Drosophila melanogaster: one gene and its partner. The protein of the gene in region 1 interacts with the protein of each later gene in a pairwise test. Each region holds a gene or a part of one and is shown on either strand. Other genes may lie near its edges.

Region 1 (3,758 bases):
TAATAAATACCTATTCAAATGAAACAACTTTCGAGAGGGTACCAAATCTTCGACGTACGTTTACAATTTAAGCTAGACTTGCTTCAAAAAAGCGAAATCCCAAGAGATGAAGCCACAAGATATTTCAGACACCCCTGATAAGAACACAACGTCTTGGGAAATGCATGAATATTTATTAGAGACTGCTCAGTGATGCTGGAAAAGTGAGAGCTCCGAACTCACAACCACCACATATCGCTGAGTGTGGTCAAGTTGAAGTGCCTGCCCAGCAGAAGATTGAATTCCTGGATGAGCGATGCGTTCACCTTGACGGGATTCATAGAGGCGTATGTGGTGACCGTGTCCGGCGACATGCAGCGATCGATGAATCGCGTCATGCCCACCTGGCAGCGGCATCTTCCCATGGCGTTGCACAATCCGTACTCGCAACGCTGGTAGGTGCGTTCCGGACCCGGGACTATGGCGCATCCGCACACATTCGGTGCGATGCATTTGCCGTAAAAACCACATCCACCCACGCAGACCGCCTCGCATCGCTCCCGATTCCGGACGTAGCCCTTGAAGCAGCGGCAGTTGCCCGGCGAGATGCACACCCCATTATCGCAGTTGTCCCCGCAATCCGGCAGACAGGTCGTCGTATTCTTATCGTATCGATATCCGTTCTGACACACGCACGTCGTTTTGTTTGCACAGAAGCCATTCTCGCAGGTCCTGAAAGAAATTTATTAAATTATTAAATGTAAAAGGAGAGGCGTCTAGTTCTAACACTCACATATAGCAATCGCCTTCGCAGGTGATGCCGTTCTTGCGTTTTTGGAATCCGGGGAAGCACTCGCATTCGTTGGGCCGCACGCAGTGACCGTATCCGCAGTCCGGAATACAAATCGGTTGGCATCCCAGGGCGGCGGACTCCCTCAGTCCTCGGGTATATCCCTCGGCGCAGGAGCACTTGCCCGGCTCCAAGCAGACCTCGTTGTGGCCACAGGTGGCGTTGCACTGCGGCTGGCAGAATTTGCGCGATCCGTCCAGCTCGTATCCCTTATCGCACTGGCAGGTGCCGTTCAAGTAACAGCGACCATGCGGACAGCCCAACGGACAGGTGGGCACACAATTGTTGCGGTAGTTGAGCACAAAGTCCGTGAAGCACACGCATTTGCCGCCCGCCACACAGAAGCCGTTCTCCTGGCACCGCTCACCGCAATCCGGAACGCACTGGCTCCAGTCATATTCATAGCGGCGCCAGCCCTTGCAACAAACCTCGATCACGTTCATGTAGGGATTGGTGGAGCTGTTGCCCACAATCTTCACCTCCTTGTCGTACTGAAAGAACACGGCCCTGGAGATTGGATTGGTGTATACAATGCATGTGTGCTTTTGAGATATATCAGTAAAATTAAAAGTTATAAACCATACGAGAACTTGTGCTGGTTATGGGCAAGGTCTAAAAGAGCCCAAGGATTTAATGGGCTTAGATTGTCACCGGCACACACTTACGGCACTTCCTGTCGGCACTTGTCCGGATGTTCCCCTCTCCGGGGCAGCGACAAACCGTTGGGTATTATATAGGGTTTCCGTGTGGTGGTCGAGGACGAGAGGCGTCGCTGTAGAGCCTCGTGCTCACGCAGCAGTTCCCGCTGGCGTTGCTCCGCGCGCAGGCGCAGCTGCTCGTCCTTTTGCTGCTGCAGCTGTTGCTCGTGAAGTTGCAGCTCCAGGCCGTGCAGCACGCAGAGGAACAGGACCAGGAGCACCGAGTGGAGGCACAGAGATCGCAGTATTGTTGACATCTCAGTGCTGGGCGCGGATTCCTTTGTGGCGCGCTACCGAAACGCTCAAGTCGCTATTGTTTACTGCTCCGGAGACGACGCAGTTGGGCCAGCCTCTAATCACAGCCGGAGGCAATGATAAGAGGGCTTCAGCGCTTAATTCGGATCTGGAGGGGGAGATCCAGGGCTCGCAATGCCAATGTATGTCAAGTAAGAACGAGCTAAAGATCGTCTTAAGTTTTATGTTCTTTCATTACGAATTGTAATTTCCCGGATAAATAGTGATGGGATGCAAATAAAATATTTCAGTAACCAAAAGTATCTTTTGGGTATGTAAATTAGCATATTCAAATATATTTTATTTTATTTTATTTATATTTAAATATGCTTTGGGCTCGTTCAAAATAAAATTAGAAAAAATATTTTAGAAAATTATCCAACTGAGGTATAAACAAGTCGCAACACTTAAAAATTTCGACTTACATGTATTCATAATAATAAACTCTCATAAACAAACTGAACCAAATTCCTCTCATCTTAGCCTATGCATCGAATATAGCTGCTTTTCTGATAAGACAAAAAAAATTAATTCTGTTTCAGTGGCGAAAATTAGTACAATTCTAGCTGGCAAATTGTGAACACCTAGAAACTTGAAATAAGGAGTGCTCAAGATGTGGTTGCGAGACTTGCGCATTCGTCTAAGTTTTTTCCACCTGATGGTGTGTCTGCCCAGTATTTACACAAATGTGCCAAGCTATTCGGATCGGTACAACAGAAGGCCTGTGTCCCAGGATCCAGGAATGGGAACCTATGGCCGCGGGTACATGGAAAACCGGCAGTTGTCCTATAATCGACCTGGACCAGCCAACTTCCAAGATCCCAGAAATGTGGAGTTGCAGCCGAAACGACGAGAGTATCTCATTCGATCACATGAAACGCAATCCGATAGGGGGCAACACAAATGCCGCATTTGGGTGCCGTAAGTATGTCAGATACACAGAAAACAACGTTGAAGTATATATACATTAACAAAATTTTTTTATTTTAACAATGTATATATATATATGTATGTTTTGATAATCAGAAATATATATATAAACTTTCTACTGTGAACATAATATCGCAAGCCTTATCTGTACTCCCAGAATTTGTAAAACTTTTAGTTGCCAAAATTCATAAGCATAGACTGAGAATTGGAAGCAATGTGGTGAACTTAGTTATAATATTTTTTGTTTTCCAACATTCGAGCAGCCCCGATACGGTGGAAAAGTACTCGTACCCCAGTGTCATCCAGACGGACCAGGCCAACCGGCTGTCCCTGATCGAGGTCTGCTGCACCGGATACTCGGCCAGTCGTCTGATGGGCGTAACCGTGTGCCGGGCGCAATGTGGCTGCCAGAACGGAAGCTGTAAGATTCCTGGTGAGTGCGAGTGCTATGATGGCTTTGTGCGTAACGACAACGGTGACTGTGTGTTTGCCTGCCCGCTGGGCTGCCAAAATGGTCAGTGCTATCTGGACGGCAGCTGTCAGTGTGATCCGGGCTACAAGCTGGACGAGACGCGACGCTTCTGCCGCCCGATCTGCAGCAGTGGCTGTGGCAGCAGTCCGCGGCACAACTGCACCGAACCGGAGATCTGTGGCTGCTCCAAGGGCTATCAGCTGACCGACGACGGATGCCAGCCCGTCTGCGAACCGGACTGTGGAATCGGCGGACTCTGCAAGGACAACAACCAGTGCGACTGCGCTCCTGGTTACAATCTGAGGGATGGTGTCTGCCAGGCCGATTGCTATCAGTAAGCTGAAAACTTCATGCTGGGAATACCAGACTAATGGCAATCTTTATTCGGTGCAGGAAGTGCAACAATGGCGTGTGTGTCAGCCGAAACCGATGTCTATGCGATCCGGGATATACCTACCATGAGCAATCAACCATGTGCGTTCCAGTATAGACATTATTACTAAAGAATTGATTTTTATTTCGAAATCCCTTGGGC
Region 2 (3,407 bases), on another chromosome or scaffold:
ACATCACTATCAGGTTTTAATTAAAATGCTTAAAGACAAAATGAAAGACAAATCAAGTGTGCTATTAAAGTAACCTAATGTTTAAACATTTAAACTTTAACCCTTTTCAAAAGAGCATACTCAATTCGTTAGGGGCTTAATTATTTATTTCTGTCTAATCTTTTCATGGCACCTTTAAAAGACTTGCCCCATCTCTGGGCAACATTGAAAGAGGTCAACTGTCGTCCCATTGCCGATGGCTGCAATTGGCGATTAGCGATTTTGGTTCGGTTTGAACCTTTCTGTAACCGACACCGATCAATCCCTATAAATATATTCAAACCAAAACTCACATCATTTTTCATCCAAAAAGACAGTAATTATCGACACTGCAGGTGATGATCGAGCTGAACTAAAGCTAAAACCGAAGCCGTTTGGCTATTTCGGTTGATTGGCCGCAATTAGATTTGGAGGTCAGATTGAAATCCACATGGATCCCTTGGGGGCTGGGTGACAGCAATTTGGGTTTGATATCTTTGACCTTGAGGATGGGGAAAGAGTGCGAGTGGTGTAATACTCCATTTTATTTTTTGTTAAAAATGCTTTTAATGTGTACAGCTTAAAACTAGATGCAGTGCTTGTGGTTTGGTTTTTTTTCGGTGGTTGATTATCCTAATGCCTGAAACGGCGAAGTGGAGGCTTGTAGTGGTAACCAGGCTCGGCGTCGTGGATTGGACTTGGTGCAGGGCCCAAGGGCAGTGCATAGGATGGAATCGGTATGTGGAAATCTACCTCAGGCTGGGGTGGCAGATATTTTTGTTCGGGCTTAGGAGGCAGATACTTCTCGACGGGCTCGGAAGGTGGCAGGTACTTAGTCTCCGGCTCGGCAGGAGGAAGATACAGCTTCTTGGGAGCCACTGGTGGGGGTGGAGGTGGTGGTGGCAGACTGGGTGCAACCTTGGGTGGCAGATACCTTGCCACTGGAGCAGGTGGCAGATACTTCACCTCGGGCGTCGGAGGAGGAAGGTACTTGGACTCTGGCGGACTGGGAGGCAGATATGTGGGCTTGGGCGCCACAACTGGAGGTGGTGGTGGAGGAGGCAGGCTGGGAGCGACCTTGGGTGGCAGATACTTGGCCACCGGTTCGGGGGGCAGGTACTTCACTTCAGGCTTTGAGGGAGGCAGATAAGTTGCCTTGGGCGGTGGAGGTGGTGGCGGTGGCAGGGAAACCTTGGGCGGCAGGTACTTCTGGCGAGGTTTCTCTGGAGGTCCATAGCTATATCCGCTAGGGATATCGAACTTGGCCTCTTGATGATGATGATGGTGGTGATCCGGCTGATAGTGCAGATCAATGTGCAGATCATGATGATCGTGTGACGAGGGAGAATGGTGGTGGGAATGGACATCATAGTGGTGGTGATCATGATCGTGATCGTGATCATGGTGGTGATGGTGATCATGGCCGTGATCGTGGTAACCTCCTCCGTACAGGTGGGACACGTCTGCCCGAATACAGATGGCAAAGCCTGCCAGAGCCAAAAGGATCAGCATGGGTTTCTGTAAAATAACCAACCTCCTGTTAGGTCATCTTTATTAGAGAATATGCCGCTACTGTTTACCATTTCCTTTAAGAGATAATCCACCGATCGAGATGATGTTGCTGCCGTTTGATGACAGCAGGTAGTAATGTCAATAACGTCGATGGTCACCGCTTTTATACAAAGATCGCGCCTTCCTCGACCGGCTGGCTATTTGGTTTTCTTCACACTTTTCTTGGTTTTCATGAACTTGAGGTCGGCCAATTATCGGCGTGTGTTATCTCCCTCTACCCCAAAACAATTAATGCGATTTCGACCAAATTAGCTCTGCACAACAAAGCAGCTCATGAATATGCAGCGGATGCGACGAAATCCCAGACAATTGACGGTGATTGACTCGGCCATCTGTACCACTTTTGTCCCATCCCAATAAATATTTGGGAGATACCGATGCTAATGGGGTTAACAAAACAGCGTTTATTGAGATGGCTTTAACCTTATATAAACCTAAGCCTAGTGGAACGATTTAAAACAAAACTAATCCGGGGAAATCTTCCATGTTCAGTTCGATCGCGATTTTGCTCAGAAGGTGAACTCTTGGGCGGGCACATCGTAGTGGTAACCCGGTTCCGGTTGTGGTGGTGGGGGTGGAAGGTACGTGGGCACTGGCGTGGGTGCAGGTGTCGTTGTGGTTGTAGTGGTGGTGGTGGTAGTGGTACGCGGTGGTGGAGGTGGGGGAGGAAGGTAAGTGGGAGCAGGAGTGGGAGCGGGAGTGGTTGTCGTGGTAGTGGTAGTAGGTGGAGGGGGAGGAAGGTAGGTAGGAGCGGGAGTAGGAGCCGGAGTGGTTGTGGTGGTAGTTGTGGTTGTGGGCGGAGGAGGAGGTAGGTAAGTGGGTACTGGTTTGGGTGGCAGATAAGTCGGTGGTGGCGGTGGTGGCTCCGTCGTCGAGGTAATCACAAATGGTATCTCCGGCTTGGGGTAGTCATAGCCATAGCCATGCTCATGATGCTCCTCCAGGAGTTCCAGCGGCAAATGCGAAACATCACCGGCTGCAAAAGCCAGCAGACAGGTAGCCAAAATGAATAGCTTCTGAAATAGGAAAGAAATCGTGAAGTTCAGATTGCTTCTCATATCTACAACTGACCACACTCACCATCTCCTTTATGATATGTCTAACACCTTGAGCTCTTAAACCACAAATGATTGAGCGTTTGCATCCACGTCGGTTTATTTATAGTCAAAATTCTAAAACAGATCGATACTGTCCATGGCGCTCTAGAGGCCAATTATTATCATTTAAATCGATATAACACCGCTAGCCCCACGGCATTCTTTGTATCGGTAAATGTATCTGTATCTGTAGCGCTCTCCGCAGCCATGTTTATATGAATGATTAGCGCCACAATAGTGCGCCGAAGTTGACAGAGGAGCAGCGTCAACATCGCCAACTTTGTTTCGGAACTATTATGCCTATATGGGGCCCTACTGAGCCGTTTTTCATCAACGTCGTCACTTGGGTTTTCATTGTTACGGTGTTAAAGGTATGACCAAACTTCCGACGGAACCTGGGGCACAAAAGCTTAGCACACAGAAAAACAGTCATAAATTCATAAAAATTCTGAGCAGATTTTGAATCAATTTGAAATAAGTAATCAGCGAGTACTTGCATTCTGATATGGGTTGCTACATATTTTAAATGTTAATTAATGAAATTCATTCATACATGAAAGGTACATGCACTTAATGTTATTTATTTTAAGCTAGTCAAGCTAAATTTTCTCTCAGTGCATCTGAAGAGGTAGTTCCGTCGCTGGAAGCGTTGTAAGCGTGCTCTGCTGGCTGTCATAAATCATTTAGACTTCATTTATAATAATTATGGCTCGCGCTGCC

The links. The genes of interacting proteins can lie anywhere in the genome.
Region 2: the proteins of NimB4 (region 1) and CG15022 interact in a two-hybrid assay, tested with the Drosophila melanogaster proteins (one large-scale study listed by BioGRID).

Annotation. Positions count from the first base shown.
Region 1 is NT_033779.5:13,968,125-13,971,882, forward strand, and holds NimB4 (nimrod B4), read right to left. Parts: upstream 1,853-3,758; 5' UTR 1,785-1,852; coding exon 1,495-1,784; intron 1,337-1,494; coding exon 773-1,336; intron 712-772; coding exon 219-711; 3' UTR 156-218; downstream 1-155. Other genes in the region: NimB5 (nimrod B5), read left to right, coding at 2,435-2,742, 3,015-3,557, 3,617-3,713.
Region 2 is NT_037436.4:4,458,647-4,462,053, forward strand, and holds CG15022 (uncharacterized protein), read right to left. Parts: upstream 1,672-3,407; 5' UTR 1,602-1,671; coding exon 1,599-1,601; intron 1,537-1,598; coding exon 652-1,536; 3' UTR 547-651; downstream 1-546. Other genes in the region: CG15023 (uncharacterized protein), read right to left, coding at 2,100-2,606, 2,671-2,673.